Linked DNA regions of Lepisosteus oculatus. Each later gene encodes a partner of the first gene's protein in a complex. Links are inferred from orthologs where the notes say so. Each region holds a gene or a part of one and is shown on either strand. Other genes may lie near its edges. The genes, in order: taf3, taf11 and taf8.

Evidence for each region.
Region 2: taf3 (region 1) and taf11 share a complex: the UniProt entries of both Homo sapiens proteins name them as parts of the TFIID basal transcription factor complex. The link is inferred for Lepisosteus oculatus from reciprocal best matches to the Homo sapiens genes TAF3 and TAF11.
Region 3: taf3 (region 1) and taf8 share a complex: the UniProt entries of both Homo sapiens proteins name them as parts of the TFIID basal transcription factor complex. The link is inferred for Lepisosteus oculatus from reciprocal best matches to the Homo sapiens genes TAF3 and TAF8.

What each region holds. Positions count from the first base shown.
Region 1 is NC_090702.1:43,098,806-43,106,447, forward strand, and holds the start of taf3 (transcription initiation factor TFIID subunit 3), read right to left. Parts: upstream 3,048-7,642; 5' UTR 2,873-3,047; coding exon 2,707-2,872; intron 1,363-2,706; coding exon 1,120-1,362; intron 1-1,119. UniProt on the Homo sapiens protein: The TFIID basal transcription factor complex plays a major role in the initiation of RNA polymerase II (Pol II)-dependent transcription.
Region 2 is NC_090700.1:29,936,002-29,943,420, forward strand, and holds the start of taf11 (transcription initiation factor TFIID subunit 11), read right to left. Parts: upstream 3,054-7,419; 5' UTR 3,032-3,053; intron 2,013-3,031; coding exon of another isoform or gene 1,828-2,012; exon of another isoform or gene 1,403-1,827; intron 1-1,402. Other genes in the region: ankyrin repeat and SAM domain-containing protein 1A, read left to right, coding at 1,828-2,012. UniProt on the Homo sapiens protein: The TFIID basal transcription factor complex plays a major role in the initiation of RNA polymerase II (Pol II)-dependent transcription.
Region 3 is NC_090700.1:40,803,912-40,810,863, forward strand, and holds the start of taf8 (transcription initiation factor TFIID subunit 8), read left to right. Parts: upstream 1-3,854; 5' UTR 3,855-3,955; coding exon 3,956-4,003; intron 4,004-6,734; coding exon 6,735-6,894; intron 6,895-6,952. UniProt on the Homo sapiens protein: The TFIID basal transcription factor complex plays a major role in the initiation of RNA polymerase II (Pol II)-dependent transcription.

The DNA.
Region 1 (7,642 bases):
AACTCACTGATTATTCACTGTTTGAACTAACTGCACGGACTAACTGATATAAGTCTTTTTACTAAAATTTTAAGTTGCATAGTAGGTACTGTTATTACTAACAATGTAGTAAACAAAGACCGGACAATTATCATCTATAATCATCAATGGAACCCTTATATATATATATGAAATAACATTTCTTACACTTTTTATGTGATTGTAGACATATATCTGCCCTCACAATAATATAGTGAAAAGCCATTTGGACATCTATGATAGAACACTGGACAATTACATTTTAATGCTCTTAATTGAATTGGTATCACTACATAATTGATCTTCGCTGTAGCTTTATAGAGTGAGTGGGATTGGTGTACTCCCTGAATCTTTAAACATCAAAATGAATATGTTACAAAATGATTAAAGAAGAATTGTAGGGATTGTATTTTACATTGCACGTAGGGATTTTTCATACAATTTTCATTAAGAACCATGTATAATGCACAAAAATAAAAAGGGAGTAGATTTACTGTACATTACGCACCGTCAAAGAGAATATCTCAATGTACACATGAAACCAGCTGAATTTTAAGTTATTGTAGTTAAACTTGTCTGGCCACAACTAAATACTCACAGCAGAAACACAGACCTTTTTCGGAAGCTTAAGGAAGGAAAGTTCAGGAACGAATGACAAAATAACTTTTTTCACAAACACAGCTGAAACTCTAGAATAGTTTGAAGATGTTGTGGAGGTGGAAAATGTTTGGTCTTTTCAAAATCTCTATGACTTTTATAGGAAAGGTGGCACATCTGAATGCTTCAGACAACAAACATTACATATGTTTTCTGCAATATTTTGACATAATCTAAAATTATTTCATAAAAATATTCTAATTTCTATTTAAACTAATTATAATATTTATTCATCACATTTGAAAGCTGGGATTTTTTAAAGCATCTAGGAAAAGCTTTCAAAATTAGTTAAGAGAACGTCACAATTTTTAAAAATGCAGACCTTTTTGGAAATAGTGCATCTCAGTACAAACCAATCTGCTGAGCATGAAACTAATGCCTCTGGAGGACTGAATGTTACTGGTTTCAATGATTTAAAATATATGGATATATAAATGTTCCCACCTTCTTGTAACGATACAATGGGAGGCATATAATCAGGAATGTATTCCTTTCTCTCTTCGGCATCCTTGCTGCCAGCCTGGGGGAACTGCAAGATGTTGTTTTTGCTGACAGGAAACAAGGGGATTTGATGTGCAAAGCCCACCGGCTCCAGATTGTGGACATAATCTTCTAGCTCATTCAGGTTCACTCCCAGTAGCTTGAATGCTTGCCCAACGTCATCTAACACAGGATCCGTGCGGCCATCTGAAAGAAGTACAGATAATTATTAAATATGTGTCTGTCATGCATTTAAATGTACTTAAACATTTGGGACAGTGCCTTGATAATTTAACCAGCCTGGAAGAAATGTTCTAAGGAACCTAGGGATACTAGTATGAATTCTAAGGTAACGCAAGGGCTTGTATCACCTAATTGCTGATGGTTTCAAGAACAATAACTGCTGATTATCACTGTAATAAAGTCATTATGGTAAAGGAACATGAACTTCATGCAGAGCCAGTGCAATAAATAAATAAGCATACCGCCTAGGAAAATCTGTGTATCCCTTATATAAATAAGATCTCAGAAAAGCTTTTGTAAAAACTCAGATGTCCAAACTGCAAATCTGTTGATTATCAGGTTTTCCTCAAGCATGCAACTTCACTTCCCTCTATTTAACAGAAAAATCATTCAGAACCAAGAGATCGAATTCAGCAAAACAACCACATGTACACAGCCCATGCTTCATCATTTAGAAGCTGGGGAAACTTTTTACCTAAAAAGGTAAAAGTTAATAAAAATGACAGTAGACAATGTTCGATTTCTGAATTTGTGCTTTTATAAAAGCATGTGTGAAAAAAACGGATGTTTTACGTTTGGAATACACATGTAAGACGTATCCTTAAAAACGAAATTAAAAACTAAATGGTTGATGAAATTTGTGTCTTGTAGATTCCTGCAAGCATAAAGTATAATTTCTAAACAATAGGTATAATAACCCAAGTTCATTATTTTTTGACAGGACGAAACAACACTTCCAGCAGCTAATTGTTCAATTATTGCTTCGATAGAACAATATGCAACAAGGACGGAGAACACCGGGTTAATGGAAGATCTGAGTAAGTTAAATGTGAAAATATTCAGGTGTCATTTCGCACTGAACCCTATTACTGTATATTTACCGTTTTCCGGTTTTAACTAAACGTTTTTTAAACATCATCCTACAATTATGTTGCTGCTGACCAGTCAGTCGGTTTCTAAGTGTATATAGTTCCCTCCCTTTTCCGATGATATGTGATATATAGGCTCATCAGCTAGCGACACACACCTGTAGGAAACTAATGATGTACTGGCAGAAAGCACCAGAAAAAACACCGAATCGCTGACTTCTTTGCTTTTGCCTAAATTTTAATAAAAGTTTTAAAGAATGTTCCCTTTTTACTTGCGACTGCGGCATTTTTGCCAGGTTATTCCTTACTGTAAAACAAGTTGGTTCTGTGCTGGTGCTACCACGCACCTCCTGTCATACTAGGCCTCATCAAGAGAAAGCAGGAAGGAGTGGAGTTGTTGCAAAGCGATAGCACTGTAAATCCACACATAAATACTCACAGAGCTCCGAGTAGCGATGGCATCCCCTGGCCAGCTGCTGGATATACCTGTGCAGGACATCAGTGAGGAGGTCGCAAGCCGTGAGCTGGACCGAATCCCAGCCTAGAGCTTGGCAGATCTGCGCCACGGACACTCGCAGCAGCGAGCGAGCATAGCTCTCACACATCCCGCTGGTTCCTTTTTGGGACCTTTAACTTTTCAATTCCCGGTAAGAAAGGTGTTTCTTGTCCTCATGATGCATTAAACCCAGAGGAATGAAAACAAAGTCCAGACAATAAACGTATTGTTGACATCTAAAATAAACCATAGGTTGGCGCTAATGCAGAAGCGGCCATCTTGATTCCACTCACAGACCATTGCCGAGAACATCGATGAGGTCCGCACATGAGCAGTGAGAAGTTAGACTCGATTTCGCGTCTATCAGCTCGTAAGTCTGAGATGAAGAGCATGCTCTCTTGTAGCAAAACAACGCAAAGTTCAAAGTTGTTATTCGTTTTAAAATGAAAACAACAGAACCTACGCAGTCGTGTTATTTTGAATGGCGCATGGTCTTATAAAATATTGTGCGAGTTCCCAATTGTAACAGTACGAAAAAAGGTTTCGTGTGTTTTTAATCGGTAGCATATATTAACCGTCATCTAGTTTCTTTTATCGCCGTTGTTGAACTGCTGTTCTTCTAGTACTTAAAAATACACGTGGCCTGTATTTTGTTATTTTTACTTTTTTATTTTAACAACAAACAGCCGGAAGCTGGAGTCTATGATTGTGCAAGCAACAGGCACAACCATAGGAAATATAATCATATAGTAGCACAAATATAGGAATATACCCGGGGCCGGGTGCCAGTCAGGGTGCAGAGACACGCACACACTCACGCCAGGGCCAGTTTTCCCAGAAGCCAATTAACCCACCAGAATGCCTTTGGACTGCAGGAGGAAAACCGGAGCAGACTAATGAGAAACACTTTTTATTACTATGCACCTGTGTAAGTTTAATGACAATAAAGTTGAATTGAATAAGTAGGAAACCCTTGTGAAGACGGGAAAGACAAAAAGGTCCACGCAGATGGCAGCCCAGGTATTGAACCCATGGCCCCAGGGCTGTAAGGTAGCAAAGCTAACCAGTGCGCCCCCCGTGCCACCGTTATAGCACTTGTAAAATATGATAGTTAAAACACAATTACTAAACATTTTTTACGACCTGAAAATAAAATATTACGATTCCTCGTATTATTAAGTTCATTCAGTCCAATTGTGCAACTTAGAACTCGGCTCTTGCATTTTAAACGAGAAAAAAGCAACATACACACGGTCCATGTGCCAAGTCCAGTAAAGGATTAGCCCGTACTTACAGGATGTGTCTGCAGTTATTTCCTTCCAACTAAGCTCTTGTTTACTTTAATTTGCTCTTACTGGGTCCAGTTAAAGACTTCGTTCTGTTTTTCAGGTGCTGCTGCCTAAGACACTGAGACAACTTGCAATCACACCATCCATCCAGGACCAGAATTGGACACTCCCCGACAAAAGTTTTTAAGTATCCTTTTTGTTCTTTTAGAAACCTTTGATTCATTTTTTTGCCCGATACCATTAAGTATTTGTAAAATGGGCTTCAGTGAATTCTGAGATATGGCAAAAGCTCTCGTAGCTTGAAATTCAAGTTATTCCATTTGTTAATGTATACATTAACCAGTGTGAAGCATTTTGGCTCCACAGTTGTTTTATTTGAAATGTTACTTACTACATTAATTAAGCAGATTAAAGCACTTTTTGTCAATTGCTTTTGGGTTTTGTTGAATACTATTGATTTTTTAGTAATGATGGTATTGTCCCCGTTTCAAGCACAAAGTGATCGTTTCTTTTCATAAACAATATGATGAAAATAGTTAATTCATTTATCAATGAAGAAACCTTATACTTTAAAATAGTACATCTGGAAATACTCAAGCAATAACAATATTCTTTGATAGTATACACCAATATGAAAAGTTCACTATTCCGTAATGTAGATCTTCAATATAAGTTATAAAGAGTGGAGGTTTCAATACAGATCCTTGTGGTACACCACTAATCACGTTTTGAGCTTTTACCCCTTACCTGTACTTTTTTGGAGAATTCATATTATGAGGAACTTCAAGTATTGTAAAAATCATCTGGTCAACTTGTATTCATTACTGCTACTGCTGAAGTTCTAACGAGATAAACAAGACCAACTGTTTCTCCTTGAACATATTGACGCAGATGGATGATTATCTAATTAAAATTCCAATAACGCTGATAGTAAGAAAAGTAAGACTTATTAATCTATACTTTGTTCAGTTTTTTCACCTTTTGAATAGATAGGTGTATCCATCATTGTGTATTTACCACCTTCTTGAGAGACTGCTGATTTTTCTTGATGGGCTATGAATTATTGTTTTGTGTACAATTGGTGGGATACCATCAGGCCCTGGAGATTTCTTTAAATATTTTAAAATACTTTTAACAACTTTCACTTCTATGCTATTTAATATAGAACATTTTTTCTTCAGTCTGCAGAATGTACTTAAAAGTTTTCGCTAAACAATAGGGGGAAATATTAGCCCTTTTAATCTATTGTCACCTCTGGGGGACAGTTCTTTTACTGTTGTAATACAAAATTGTAGTATACTGTACCTTATTCTCTCTCTACCTAATATCCCTTTCACTTGTGCTCCCCTTTTTTAAAATCTGAGTTTGTTTCATATGGAATTTGTGGCATTTTATTCTATTCCTAGTAGCACATACTGTATCCTTCATGATTAACCTCTCTCCTTAGCAATTCAACTTCACTACTCGGCTTAAACACAAAAAATAACCTTAAATTTGATATTCTTATAATATTAGGATTTAACAAATAACTGCAAGGATACAAAAAGGTTCAGTATAACAGTATACTGATACACTATAACAGTAGTATACAAGTTATCACTAATACTTTACAGCTCTTGGGTCCCGAGTTCTAATTCTAATTCTACTGTAGGGCATCTTCTGCTTGGAGTTTGCATATCCTCCCCAGGCAATGCTCCAGTTCTCCCCTACATTCCTGCAACCTGCTGGCATCTCTAAATTGCCCCCCCCCCCCCCCCCAAAAAAAAATTGCTCTTTGTATTATTGAACAAATACTGTTCTTTTTTAAAGTTAATAAACACTCATACATCAGACGACTTTGACTTATGAGATTTGAGATTCTGGTATAGGTACCATTAAAATAGGTTAGTTTTGCATTAAACAGCGTGGGAAGAGGCAGAAATGTGCATTGTAGATCTAGCTGCAGAACAGTGAAAAAGCTTCTCAGTCTAACACTGGATGCAGCCAACTCAAACTAAGGGTTTGCAGACTCTCCTACTATACTTTATTTAAAATTTAGTAAACGCGGCTCATTTTCAAAATGTTTGAAAACAAGAAATGGGTTATTTTCCATTGCAGTATTGATCTATACTTTAATGTTTTCACAACTTGTAGAACACAATTTATTTTTGCTTTTGTGTAAAACGCAAATTATCAAAGGAAAAAAAACAATTACAATTCTGTGTAAGATGTTTATTCGAAGATATTTTACAAACAGAGGATAGTTTCACGAATACTTGACAGAACTGATGATTCTCAGCGTGGACACCAGAACCTTACTGAAACTTGATAATAGCTGGTCTTCCATGTTTATCTATAACAAAAACATATAAAACTGGTTATAACAAAAGTGCAATGTATATTACATCTGTTGATTGCTATGGAATGAAAATAAACCAGGTTGTCTAAATGAACTAGATCCACAGGCAGAACAAAGCACTAACTACTAACAGCTGAAGTAGATTTAGGCATAAAGCATATGTAATAAATCTTTAATCTCTAAAAGGTGAAAATGCCAAGCCACAAAGGAGATTCAAAACCATACATGTCTTCCAAAAATATTTAATTAGGGAACAAACTAACATGAAAATCACAATATCTAGTCTAAGGCACGTTACCTCGGTTTTGGTTCTGATAAAACCACACTTCAATCTCTGAAAACATGCCAGAAATAAATCAGAACAAAGGATCAGTTGAAATAAAGAGTAACCTTTAAACTACATCTTTAACAAAGGATTAAATCCTGATTGAAGTTTGGCCTCAGGAAATGGTACTTCACTAAGTAGTAATACTCATTGATTTCTTCACTGACTAGACGGGGAAATCCTACAAAAATGTTGCAATTCAAAGCCTGTGTCTGCCAGTACATAAACATTATTTGAAGCCATCACATTGACACACCTAATTTAGGTATTTGGAATTAGCTGCCACTTCACGCGAGACAGGAACACCCAGGAGTGTTAAGAGTACATTGTTGTCCATTGATGATTTAACAGGGATCATATTCATATTCCAAAAACATAAGATTTTATGATCATGTCTTTGTTTAAAATGCAGGTTCGCATTTTCTTAGCTCGGAGATATTCACACCCGTTCCCGATGTGCTCTAGTTCACCAGGTTTTACAGGTCAATGAGTCCAGACTGGAATAAAATCTAAAGACATTGTGGCTCTCCAGGACTAGGAGTGAATATCAGTGCCTTGGCTCAGGGGACCTCCATCCTGGTCCTGGAGGTCCAAGCACCTTCTGGACTTTGTTCCAGTCAAAGCCCCGTTTCACAATTGAACATGAATCAGGATTCACTTGAAATGCTTTACTGTTTGTTTTCAACTCTTAAACATGTTGATGTTTGATTTGTAACAACTGCAGTTCTTAAGGACAATTAAATTACTGAATGGACAAAATAAAAAACTTGTAAATATTCCAATCTAGCTACTTGTTATTGCAAATAAGGCTTCAATCAGGTGGAAGAAAAACTGGAAGGTTTGTGGTTTTCCTGGATCAGGACAAGAACTCTGCCTTAGCTGTTTATATAATAGGGCACATCGTACTTTTACTCAGGACAGCAGTCC
Region 2 (7,419 bases), on another chromosome or scaffold:
TTAACAGGTCGTTATTTATTTTACGATGTGCTCCTAATATCAGATATCTGAGGATACATAAACCAACCGTAGCCATAACATTTAGTGTGGATTTCGCTTTTTATGTGTTGAAAGTGATATAATCTATCAGCAATAGCCTAAACGTGTTTTTTTTAATCTGAAAATGTTTCATATGAACAGTTTAGGTCTAATACGAGTGACACGTGATTATAAAAAAATACAAATATATTGTAATTGTAGCAAATAGAACTCTGCTGAGAGCATGTGGCCAATTTGAAACACATTTAGTTAAACGGTCCCGTAAATGTCATGGCGTTGAACAAAGAGCAGAACATATTGAGATCCCGACCCGGGAAGAGAAGAAAACGCAAGAAACAGCTGGTCTGCCAGGGGTGTTGGGTTTGCTGGGCGTACAGAAAAAGATGAAGAATCTTTTAATGAACAACCGCATTTGAAGTGAAGTGACCTGATCAGTGCCATAACTGCATTAGTAAGGAAGCTGCTGTCTGAAACTCAGCAGACTGTATTCAAATATTGCTTTTCTACATATGACTATGGAACTGCACTACAGGAATTAACCATGGGAACGGAATTTTAGTGCGGAGGAGGGCAAAGCCTTCAAATTCCATTATCTGGATAATACATTTTAGGAGAACATAACAAACGGTTAAATATAAAACTAGGAAATAAAGTTGCCTCCTGTAAATAAGCAATTGATTATTTTTTTGCTCTCCTACCCTAAGTCTAACTTGGCAGGCACACCACGCAACAGCCCACAGGAGTAACCTGCTGACTCCACAGAGAAGACACCCCAGCACAGAAGAATATCCGACATCCAGGCAGGTCGGTACCAGGACTGAGCTTGGGTGGGGCAGGAGAGTTTAAAGTCACCCTACCCGACAAAATCCATTTCACGAGCTATACCTGGAACAAACCGTGTCGATTAAAATGTATTTCTCACAAATAGAAGCTCAACCTGTTTAGGATTCAGCTCCATTACTGGCTTCAGAGATAACGTCTACATAAGCAAAAACCACAGCCTCTTAGACTACACTTAAGGGCTCTAGCCCACGCGTGCTATGCTCCGCAATTTTGCCCACCCAAATAAAAGTCCCCCACATATCAATTTATTTCAGTATTTGCAGGCTGAACAGCCCTATCTGACTTACACTTGTTAATAGCGGATATCCGTTATAGTTAATGAAGTGTATGTGGTAATATTGTTTTCTCGTGTTTGGTAGTTCCTTTAATTTGTAGACACATCTAAATACATTCTGATACATTTAACGTGTTACATCTGATTTGTTTCCGACACAAAGAAACTGATACGAATATTTATTTCTTTGTGCTGAGCTGCATTAAAACGAAATGCGATTGTCTTGCAATTCTTGGCATTCTCAGCGCATTATTAAAGTGACTTAAATCCAGACTTGTGGGGGAGGTAGTGGGTGATAGGATTTCACTACCGGTTGTACCAGGTATGGGGTAATGGGGCTGTTGTGAAATGACGTTGGAAAGTAACCAAATGACATCATGAGGAGGAGGCTGTCCTAAGGAAGTGACGTGTCGGGGGGGCAGTCGGAGGAAGTTTGGCCGGTGGTGGTGCTGAAAGAAACTTTCCCTGGAGCGGCGGAGTGGAGCAGGGATCCGGGGCGCGAGTTGCCGCGAGGAAAAACATCGATCAACTGTGGAGGATTATTGTCAGTGGGAGCATTGCTGTTGGAGCCTGGATACGCGTCTTGGCCTCTGGGACACCAGGCTGAAAGGGAATCGCCTGAGCCGCTGCCTTGCGTGTGCCTCCCTCTTTGGCTCCATTCTCGAGCCGAGATGGGGAAGGAGCAGGAGCTCCTGGAGGCTGCCCGCACTGGGAATCTGGCCGCCGTCGAGAAGCTGCTATCCGGCAAGCGGCAGTCGGCGGGGATCGGTGGAGGGTCCTCGGGAGGCGGAGGGAGCGGCGGCGGAGGAGGCGGCGGTCACAGTTCCTCATCTCACCCGCTTTCGAGTTTGCTCAGGTGAGAGGTGGGGGGAAGACCGGACCTGCCGGTGCAGGTACAAGGAAAGGGAGAAGGGGTCCGGCCCGGGTGGAGGAGGAAAGCAAGAGAAGGAGGAGGGGGGGTTTGTGCAAAACGCGGTTTGAAGATTATTATTGAGTGGGTGAAAGAGTGAGTCTTCAGAATGCCTAAGCGTAACCCTGGGTGTCCAAAGCACACCCCCCAAGATTTAATCGTTTTTTTCTTGGACAAATACAGTTTTGAGCCGATAACAAACGATCTGATAGACCCAGTTCAGCCCACGTCTTTGCAAATATTTTTTTCCCCTCAACTCTCCTGTCTCTGACGCGGACCTCAGCACACCTTTGCTATCGGGTTGCGCCGGGCAAACATTCTTTGAATATTTGCTTCCACATTTCAAGAAGTCGACCTCCCTTTCCTTACCTCGCCATGTTTAATAACACATTACGGGCTGGTGCACACTGCAAGGGAATCCGTCTTTTGTTTGGCGCTTGATATGCTCGAAATCAGTTCGTGGGAAAAACGTGTGACAAATTTGGTTGGGTTTATGCAGATGTCGCAAGATATCGCTACTGTCATTTTTTTCTTTTGTGTAGTTGATCGCAAGGCACCCACTTCGATTAATTTTGACGTGCGATATTAAGAACACCTGACAATTATTTCCCCATGAAGCTGATGAAAAATACAAGAGACAACAGAAGAGCGTCACAACACGAAGAGACGTTATAATCCCTTTAACATATCAGACACCGACCAAGAAATAGGTCATGATTATTTTTGCCTTCGTTGCGCTGTTTTGCTGTTTTGTATATGCTTCCCCGGTCGTTTGTTTTGTGGTTTCGTGTTGTTTGTGCACACTTTCGAGTTTGCATCTTTTTTAAAACAATATCAGTAAACAACGCGAAAACGTCTACGATGCCGCTCGTTTTTCCACGCGTGAAATCTGGGACTGAAACGTTTTCTGTTCTGTGGGTTTTCACCGGTGCGCGGGCCGGGTGGACTGGACTCCCCCGCGGTACCTGGGCGCGCAGGAGGGGCGAGGGTGTGGAGAGGGGCACTGCGTCCGGCGTGCAAGGAGCTGTCCGTGCTGCGGTCATTCATACTCCTAGTAGTCCAGCATGTGTGAATTGCACTCCTCCTCCTTCTCCTGAGCGCTCTCGGCGAGATGTGTACTGTAAATACGAACAGTGTGCATTTAAAAAAGACGCCCGTAGTCTCTCACAGCCTTAGCAAGCGCGGAGCTGAGCCACCCTGCAGGCGTGTGTCACCGACCTGACTTCGAAACCTAACTCCAAGCAGCTAACGCGTCACCTCTTTTAATTGCAGAAAATGTAATTAAACATTGAAAGGAGGTAGAAAACTGCAGTTTAATTTCATCAGAAACTTAAATCGGAGAAGCTGAACGAGGGTGCAGCGAAATTCATTTCTGATAAGGAAAGAGAGCCGTTTTCGTGTCTGTTAAGTGGTTCTTTAAGCGTCTGTTCTTCAGTAACTGTGTTTCCTCCTAATCTGTAATAATTTAATCTGGACACTGACGGAAATAGCCGAACGCATGTGCCTCTTAAAACCGTACAGTTGCCTAACGCTATATTGCACAAAGCATCTTTACAATGGCGAGTCTTGACGATGTCTATATATAGATACAGGCTTCGATTACGAAATCCTTTCAGACAAATTAACGCTTACAATTTAAGGTTCGTTTAAGATTTTCATGTCGAAAGAGTCATTAAGTCATTAAGACCCCTTTTCCTTTTACTGTTCTGGTAACCGTTTTTTTAAACGGTTTGGAAGTAGTGTCCCTGAAAGAAGATTTAAAAACACTAAAGATGGTAAAGCTGTTACTGTATGAAGGTGCTACCTCCTCTCGTTTCATCGGTTACCTCCCCCGAAAAGATGACCGAATGAATTATCTGATAAAAAGGGGAACGCGGTAAAAGAAATTATGACTCCTGTTATAGCGCATCTATGGGCGGAGGGCGGAGATAACTCACACTCCGTAAACATCGACTTGATGCGTCGTAAAATTAGTCCTGACATGCTGCGCGGTACTTGATGTAATTACATTAAAACCCTCTTAATCGGAAATCCAATTCGGCGGTGTCATGCGCTTCGAGTGGCCCCCGGCATAGCCCGGCCCCCGACAAGTGAAAGCTGAAGTGCACTTTGTAGGCTCTGGAGAGCTCTGCTCGGCTCGATCAATGGCTGGCAGGCGTCCATGAGCGAAGATAATGATGACCTTAGCATGTGTTTTAAAGTAACTAACTCGGATGAGGAAGACACCCCTTGCGTGCCCACCCTCAGAGCTCCGCATGTCTACGCGATTTCCCTTCAGAGCACTGGGCATCATTGCTTTAAGTGCGATCTTTTCTCTCCTCTCGTTTGACTTGAAAGAAAAAAAACCGCACATCAGGCCTTCGGAAATAATCGTGTTCTGTGGTACCCCGTCAATATTGATTAATCGGCCAGTTTAATGATTCAAATCTTCGGGCATGTCAAGTTAACCCCAGCTGTGTTTTTCATCCAGTTTTTATTCGTTCCCAAATCCTGATCCCGTAGTGTGGTTTTGGTCAGGCTTTCTAAATTCAGAAAATACACGAACCGTAGTAGTGTTTGTGATGAAGGGTAGTCCTGCCAAAAATTCAGAGGCAAAGAAGACGAAGGTTCTGAGATCAACGGCTGGCGAAAAAAGCCGTTATTTTAAAAACCAGAGCAACACTGTTTGCCTTTAATAATGCAGTCCCCTGCTGAAGTGAAGCATGTAGCTGTCAGACCGATGTGCATTTACCGGTACAGCGCCGAAGCGAAGGACCTAAAATATTAAAGATGAGAATAGGAGGCTCTTCTTTACACAAAGGGTGGCGGGTGTCTGGAGTAGGCTGCCCAGCCATATTGTTGAAGCCGACATCCTGGCTTCTTTAAAGAAAGGACCGGGTGAGATCTTGGATCAATTTGCAACCACCGAACGAGCTCGATCGAGTGACTAGCCTCCTCTCACCTGTAAATATGCGAATGGATTTTGTGCAGGAACATCTGCTTGTCTGTTCAAGTTTCCATATGCAGGATTCAGTAGTTCAGGTCAGCTCATAATACTGTAGGTCTGCGTGGCGTGTTCCTTTTTTTAATGCTTACCATTGTGTGTCAGGCAGACTAGTGTGCAGGGCTGATATTTGGACCAGGTGGTATATGACGATACTATGAGAACTGAACCACTCTGCAGACAGAAATGTTGCTAAATTCACTGGAGTTTTATATGGCCAGTGTTCATGGCACTGGATCAGCTGGGACTAGCTCCCAGGTGCCAGTACTGTGGTGACTGTGTGGCTGGTAAGTCTTTGCTGAACTTTACCAAGCTTTGGCTGTGAAAGTGCATAGCATCAGAAAAACATGGGCTTAGAGAAATCAAAACTGCGAAGTGATGTGTGTGTTTTGTGCCACCTTATCTGTCCATTTCCTAACCACTTCATCCAATTAATTCAAGGTCTTGGGGGAACTGGAGCCTATCGTGGCAAACAATGGGTGCAAGGTGGGGTATACCCTGGGCAGGATGCCAGTCCATCACAGGGCAGACACACCAGGGCCAGTTTTCTCAGGAGCCAGTTAACTACCAGTATGTCTTTGGATTGTGGGAGGAAGCTGGAGCACCTAGAGGAAACCCACATGAACACGGGAGAACACGCAAACTCCACACAGACAGCACCCCGAGTCTGGAATTGAACCCAGAGCTCTGCGAGGCAGCAATGCTGACCACTGCTCCACCGTGTTGCCCACAGTCCAATCCATGGCTCTTCTTTTAGCCCCGGTACAGAATAACGTCGTTGCTCCTGAGCAGATTGGCTTCAGATTCTGTGGTTGTGCGGCGTGTGTGTGTTCTGAGCCTGCGTTTCCACAACCGCCTGGCACTTCCGAGTGCCCAGCCCGCTGTGCCCAAGTGCCAGGCCTCTGCTGATTCTCTAGGGCCCCGGTGCCCGACTTTACAGCAGGCAGCCCACCTTGGCCGTTTTTCTTCGGGCAGGATCACGGAGTCAAGCGCTGGAAAGGCGTTCTGTGAAGAAGGGCCTTCTGCTTTTTTGCTTACTCCGCGGCGCGCGCGTCGGGACTGCGGTTTCAGTCAGGACGGGGATTAACGGAGCCGCCGGGCCTCGGGAGAAGCGGGCAATGGGGCCGAACAGTGCCGAGCTCGCTCCGTCTCCTCACTGGCTGGGGGTGGGGGGAGGAGGGTTGGAGAGAGAGCCTTCCCTAGCGTGCTCAGGCATGCCGCGTTGAGACACCTCAGCGCAGCAGTCTGCCTTGCTCTGGAATGTGCCTGTTCCTCGCCCGGCTTCTCGTGCGCGCTTTGACAACAAGCCAGCTTGCGAACGTGCTTTTGCGGGGAAGAGCGCTCGGAGAATGCGCGCGCGCACGTGGGACTGGAATTCCATCTCGATCCGGCCTGACGTGGCCGTGCTTCCCTTTCTGGCTGGACTGTCCATCCGTCCACTTTGCCCACCGCTTCTTCCAGTGTGGGGGAAGCCGGTGCCTATCCCATCAAGCAGTGGGCACAATCCAGGTGCATCCTGGATGGGATGCCAGTCCGTCACAGGGCAGCGATCACACGTACTCACACCAGGGCCGACTTTCCCAGAGGCCGGTTAAGTTAATCTATCAGTCTGGTCTGCGGACTGTGGGAGCAAACAGGATTACCCAGAGGAAACCCACCCCAACAGTGGGAGCACATACGAACTCTGAAGTAAAAAAGAAACTAGAGTCTTAGTTAAAGCCCCGAGATTGCTTTTGGCAGTGTGAGTCTTTAGCCTGGCATTGGAGGTCGGCGGTGCGTGGGTTGTGTTCAGCGTTGAAGGTTTTTCACACTGGGTGAAGTGAATTCAATCATTAACGAAACCGAATAAACAGGCGTCTTATCTCTCAGTGAGCCTGAGGTCACAAAGAAAAGCCCCCCCCCCCCCCCCGTCAGGGGGGCCTACCCTGGCGTTTTGAAAACCAGAAAAAATCCACAAGTTTGCAGTATATTTATAATAATTATAATTAATAATAATTGCTTACATCATAATTTTTGGACACTCCACTCAAAGCACTTTACAGGTAATGGGGTCTCCCCTCCGCCACCACCAGTGTGCAGCATCCACCTGGATGATGCGACGGCAGCCATAGTGACCAGTAGTCTCACCACACACCAGCTATCAGTGGGGAGGAGAACAGAGTGATGAAGCCAGTTCATAGAGGGGGATTATTAGGAGGCCATGATTGGTAAGGGCCAATGGGAAATTTGGCCAGGACGCCGGGGTTCCACCCCTACTCTTTTCGAGAAACACCCTGGGATTTTTAATGACCACAGAGAGTCAGGACCTTGGTTTTACATCTCATCCGAAGGACGTTATTTCCTTATTTCCTTCGGATACCCTGCTGGCTT
Region 3 (6,952 bases), on another chromosome or scaffold:
CAATGGGTCAGCTCGTGTGCGCCTGAACACCTCACCCCGTGCCTACCGCCACCGAGCCCGACCACCGCTGACAGCCCGCCGCTGGCATCTAGACACTATATACGCCTGTGACGTCAGCTGTCGCTGCACCAATGAAGGACGCCGCCGCGGCCATCTTTGTGCGGGGCAGAGGTTTGGGCGGTAGATGTGACGCTGCAGGAAGAGCAGTTCAGGTTAAAATAAAAAAATAAAGCTGCTGTCCATTCTCCAACATGTCGTTGTGTATCGTTATACTCAAATAAAATATGATATAAAGAAAACCTCTAGAGTTAAATGATTCCTCTTTATTGTGCAGCGGTAGATGAAATCTGTGACAGACATACTCAGACACGAGGCCAGGATTAATTAAAATTAAATGAGCTGTGTTTAGATCAGAGGTCAGAGGAAAACTAGAATGTGAAACTAATAAATGTTATATAATGTAATGTTTTTATGATACATGTTATTGAACTGAAAATATACATTAACACAAGATGAACTGCATAATACCATTAGGAAATAAAGTTAACAAAGAATGATTAGAGTACTTATGCTGCAAGGGCCTAAACAGTTAAATACATAAAGCATATTGACTTATTAGTAACAAACTTGAAAATGTGTTGTAACATTAAGAATAAAAAATGTCACTTGAAGTTGATCTCTTATATAGAAATCAAATTAATGAAGTTCCCCACTTAGAGATGGCAGAGTACTGCAGGTACTGCTCTTAGTGCCACACACAGAGACACAGCACACACTGACACACAGATACACACGCCACACACTCTCACTTCCAAACACACTGAGCACAGTACAACTCTCTCACTTCCACACACAGACACACACTGAGTCCAGTACTGCTCTCTTACTGTTGCACACACTAAGTCCAGTTCTGCTCTCTTACTGTTGCACACACTGAGTCCAGTTCTGCTCTCTCACTGTTGCACACACACTCCACACCGAGTACAGTACTGCTGTACATCACAGCACCAGAGATCAGAGCTGACTCTCTTGTTTTTAGTTGTTTTTGTCATCTGAAGTTGAGTGTAAAAGCCATTTCCTGCAGGAGTGGGTACAGTAGAGCTGTGAACTGAAGCCCCAGACAACATTTTCTGAGACACCTGGCAAAGACATTTTGTTTTATTTTTATCATTCTGTTTTAATGGATGTGGTCTCAACTGTCAGCCCCACTTCACTCCACTGCACGCCAATGTGTGCACACACACAAGTATACACACAGCACACATACACACGCCACACATACACTCCACACACACTGCGTACAGTACCGCTCTCTCACTGTCAACATACCCGCTGTCTGTGCCACACACACACTCACTGCCACACACACAAGTACGCTCTTGACACACACACACACCAACAGACATCACACACACAGATAGACTCTCACTACTACACACAGTCAACACAATTCTCCTGCTCCACTGACCTGGCACTGGGGATAAAGACACCTGCACCCCCAGGTGAGACGGTGATAGGGCAAGCACAGCAGCAGGAGCTTACAGTACAGCCGTTTGTTTAATGTTTCCTGTTAACACATCAAGCCACAGACACCCTGAGTCAGGCCTGACTCTCTACTGATGATTTTTAAACTGTGCCTGAGTAGAAGCTGCCTTATCTAAACCCATAGTTCACAAGGGGGTACCTTTACATGCTATTAGTTTACCATAGTACTGTCCGATGGTACCAGTAAACTCAGGACATGACATAACTTTGTGTGGCCACAGGGGAGAGAGGAAATGAGACAGGTAGATGAGATGCCTTCCTTGTGGGGAGAAACCCTAGTGGGACAAGTTATTTTAACGTTGTGAGTATCTTAGTGAGGAAACTGCAGCACCAGGACAAATCAGGAGTGAAAGAGATGGTCATGCAAAAGCAAATGTACATCTGAAGCCCTGTAGCTCTGAAATTCTCTCTATTCTTCCAACCAATCTGCTGAGTCAGGGTGGAGTGGCGATGCCCAGGCTGCTGAGTCAGGGTGCAGGGGGGATTCCCAGGCTGCTGAGTTGGGGAGCAGTGGGGATGCCCCCTGCGGCTCCATGCAAATTCACCCTGACCACACAGCCTGTCTTTTCCTTCTTTCAGTTTCTTTACTGCAATATCGGTGAAGAAGCGAATAGAAATACTGCTCTCCAAAACTTTTTTAAGAGTGAAGCTTTATACTCATTACTTGTGCATCTCTTTGCATCTTGGGCTTTATCACTCCAGCAGAAGGGAGTTGAGATGCCCTCCAGCACACTCCAGCACGCGCACACCCAAGCGGGATGGTGTGAGATAGCATGGACTCACTCCAGCCCAAGTGTGAGACAGCAAACACACAATCCAGCACCACAGAGTGAGACAGCTCGCACACACTCCAGCGTGAGGGTGGGAGACAGCACGCCCACACTCCAGCGTGAGGGTGGGAGACAGCATCCTCTTGCTCTTCCACGGCTCCATCAGTGAAAATGAAGAACGTTTTTTACAGAGCAGCTCTATATGTTAGTGTTTATTTCTTATATTTGCTATTTGATTACCTTTGACAAGGTAAAAATTCAGTAGCAGAAAACTTGTTATGCAGCTCCTTCACATCAGTCGCCTAACGAATGATGGAACATGCTGTAGCAGAACTGGGCCCTACAGCACTTACCAAAGCGAGCAGCTTGCTGTACAGCTTCTCTCTGTGCTGTAAACCCGTCTGTGTGCATGGAGAGGCATTGCTGAGTCAGAGAGCGACAGAGCAGCTCCGTATGGCGGCCTGTGACACTGACAGACATACTGCGCCACTGCGCTTCCTGGCACCAGCCTGACCCCAGCTGAGCACCTGAGTGCGAAACCACACTGAGCACGCTCACTCTCGCACCCATGCCGCTGGCAGACCGCCCCGGCTTCCTCTCTGAGCGTGTCGGCAGCAACCGCATCGCAGACCTTTTTATATTCATCTTCTCAGCTTTGCAATTGAAATGTGTTCTCAGTGTCAAGGCAGATGTGTTGATATGCGTTATCATTTATTTTGTCATGTTATGAGCTGCATGGTCTTTTCTGTGTTTATATGGCCTCTACATATTTTCCATCTTCTGGCATCTATTAACTTTGAAACCTGAAGTCATAACTGATGTCTCCAGAAGCTCAGGTTTGATTCCAGCCACAGCCACCTATAAGTGTGGAGTTTGCATCATCCTTGTTAATGAACAAGTAATAGGTTTATTCCATGCTGAAAAAAAGAAGAAAGAGAACACAACGTTTCGGCCGTGGAGCCTTCTTCAGGTGTGAGAGAGACAGGGCAGTAGGCAAAGGTAAAGTAGCGGGAGAACAAAGGTTGGGAGGGAGGAGGAGTGAGAGGCGGGAGCAGGGGACAGAAAGAGAGGCCAATCAAGAGGTGTGAAGTCAGAATGGGTGCAGAGAGGTGTGAAATGAAACTTCCAATGAATGGAGAAAATTTAAAAGAACAGTAATCTGTCGTTAAGGGAAGTCCTTGTTAATGCTGCACAGTGGTGGTGGTGGAGGGGAGTCCCCATTACCTGTAAAGCACTTTGAATGGAGTGTCCAGAATTTATTTATTCAGAAGTTATTTATTTATTATTATTATTATTATTATTATTATTATTATTATTATTATTATTATTATTATTATTATCATCATCTCCCTGTGTGCTCTTTACACCTCTTGCACGAGTGTGATCTTAAGGACATGCACGTCACGTGTCATTGGAAATGCTGAATTGAGCCACTGGAGTGTCTGTCCCATACAGGAAACAAGCAGGTCTCCACGTCAATAACACTTTTATTCTTACGGGATACGAGACCGACAGGTACTTCCACCTACGTGTTTTATTTAGATTCGCAAGGATAAGGGCTGCTTTCACAAGGGAATAAACTTCTCCCAGCCTCCCTTTCGACAGCCGTGCATGCGCACTGTGGCCAGTCTGCCCTGAAGATGGCGGATCCTAATGTTGTGGGCAGTGGATCGTTGGGCTCCGTGACGGTAAGTATAATAAATTATGCGAGTAGGACTTCATTTAAAAAGAAAAATCGTGAGAAATGCTTGTTATATGTGAGCCTGGACCGTTTACACTACAGCGTGGAATCGCTTTGCTCTGGACGGGGAGCTTAGCTCAGCGCTCGCGCGCTGGGTCGCCGTTGTTAGCATTTCTGTATGTCCCACCTACTAGCTGCGATGATTGGCGGAGGCATGGAAAGCTTCTCACTCATTGGCTGCTTTTTGTAAGATTTGTTTCTAACGCTGCTAGAAATGTAAAAAAAAAAGTTTGTGAAAATGAAACATAGAACCGTACTTTTTTTGTGTGAATACAAGTAAAATTTGTATGCAGTAATGCAACAGTACTTTTGCTAGCCTGAACATGTAATTGTATGAGATATCCCAGGGTTAAAGCGGAAATATGATTTCAAATGAGAATCTATATGATTGTCCACATACAGTGGAAAATTTCCGTTGGCCTCAGTGAAACAACAATAATCACAACACTGTATTAACAGAGTACATTCCGTGGATTTTACAGATGTGCACAGTGTTATAATACATGACAAAAACATAAGATTCAAGCTGCAGGCATGTACTGTATCGCCAGCAGCCATATCACCCTGCAACTCACAACTGGCAACCCACTGAAGCTAAGCAGGTGTGAGCCTGGTCAGTACCTGGATGGGAGACCTCCTGGGAAAAACTAAGTTTGCTGCTGGAAGAGGTGTTAGTGGGGCCAGCAGGGGGCGCTCACCCTGTGGTCCATGTGGGTCCTAATGCCCCAGTATAGTGATGGGGACACTATACTGTAAACAGGCGCCGTCCTTCGGATGAGACGTAAAACCGAGGTCCTGACTCTCTGTGGTCATTAAAAATCCCAGGGTGCTTCTCGAAAAGAGTAGGGGTGTAACCCCGGTGTCCTGGCCAAATTTCCAATTGGCCCTTACCAATCATGGCCTCCTAATAATCCCCTTCTATGAATTGGCTACATTACTCTGCTGTCCTCCCCACTGATAGCTGATGTGTGGTGAGCGTTCTGGCGCACTATGGCTGCCGTCGCATCATCCAGGTGGATGCTGCACATTGGTGGTGGTGGAGGGGAGTCCCCATTACCTGTAAAGCGCTTTGAGTGGAGTGTCCAGAAAAGCGCTATATAAGTGTAAGCAATTATTATTATTATTATTATTACATGCTGTCAATGCAATGCTGTGGGATTAATGAGATTTAAAAGAGTAAGAGCACTCAGAATGAATGACTTAAATGTGTCTTGATACTCTAGAATGTCTTCCAAATGCTAATTTTTCAAATTGTAAATGTAGTGGATCTGAGGTATCATTTACTATTAACATTGCTTTCCTGTAAACACTTCTGGTATACATGTGGTTCAGCGTGGTCTGTTTCTGACCATTGATTTTGCTGCCCATGTTTATAATCCTGTTTATTAACAAGTGGAGATGATACGAGAGAGCACACTCTACCAGCTCTAGAGCGAGTCTGTTTACAGAAGAGCTCCTGAACCTTCTCATGAGAAGTCAGGGCCTTTTTAAAAACATACGCCGTGCTGTCTGAGAGGTTTAGTTTACCAACAATGTATGTACCCAGATATTTAAAATAAGGGTCTGTCTCCACATGCCGGCCATTTAAGTGTGGATGGCAGGATTCTTCCGGAGTGTAGCATTTTGCAATTAAGAATTGCAAGTTAATAATAATAATAATAATAATAATAATTAATAATTGCTTACACTTATATAGCGCTTTTTCTGGACACTCCACTCAAAGTGCTTTACAGGTAACGGGGACTCCCCTCCACCACCACCAATGTGCAGCATCCACCTGGATGATGCGACAGCAGCCATAGTGCGCCAGAACGCTCACCACACATCAGCTATCAGTGGGGAGGAGAGCAGAGTAATGTAGCCAATTCATAGATGGGGATTATTAGGAGGTCATGACTGGTAAGGGCCAATGGGAAGTTTAGCCAGGACACCGGGGTTACACCCCTACTCTTTTCGAGAAGCGCCCTGGGATTTTAAATGACCACAGAGAGTCAAGACCTCGGTTTTACGTCTCATCCGAAGGACGGCTCCTGTTTACAGTATAGCGTCCCCGTCACTATACTGCGGCATTAGGACCCACATGGACTGCAGGGTGAGCGCCCCCTGCTGGCCCCACTAACAAGTTGTTTTATTGAAATTGAAATGGAAAAAAACAGCTACATTAGAAGAAGATATTCTCATTTCAGATGTCACTCAATTATTTTCATTGACAGAAAAACTAACTTTAAAAAGAAGAATATAAATTGGGTATAATTTTACTGAGATTATTGTTTCTGTTTGTGGATGTGGGAGATTTTTGTGTATTTACAGAGCATGTGAGTTTCTCTCAGAGTTGAATAAAATGGTCTCGTGAGTTGGACCAGGGCCAGCCTGTACATCAGAGGAGTGTGAGTTTGGCCAAAATAAAAACGGTTCCCAAGATTAGCACAGCCAGGGAGCAATAGGTGTGATTTCTTCTTCACCAGTGAGTCGCAGGTGAGCATGAGTGAAGCCAGCTGTGTGGAGGTGCACCTGGTAATCAGCCAGTGCCCTGGAGCAGCTGGGAGACTGGGAGCATGGTTATTGTACACTCCTGCTCCAAGTGGGGCGTTCGGCCTCAGACAGGGTGACAGAAGTAAAGCGTGCAGGATCAGTGTCCTCAGTCCAGTTTGTGAATGATCCCCCATCTGTCTCCCCAGCGCTCCTCCGGGGGCAAGACCTCCACCAGCCCCGCGGAGAACTACTACCTCGCTCGGCGGCGCACCCTGCAGGTGGTGGTCAGCTCGCTGCTGACAGAGTCCGGGTTCGAAGCCGCAGAGAAGGCTGCTGTGGAGTCTTTGACGGAGATGATCCAGAGCTGTATGTAAATCAGGGAAACACCCTTCTGATTCTCCTTGTGCTTTTTACAACAAAACTC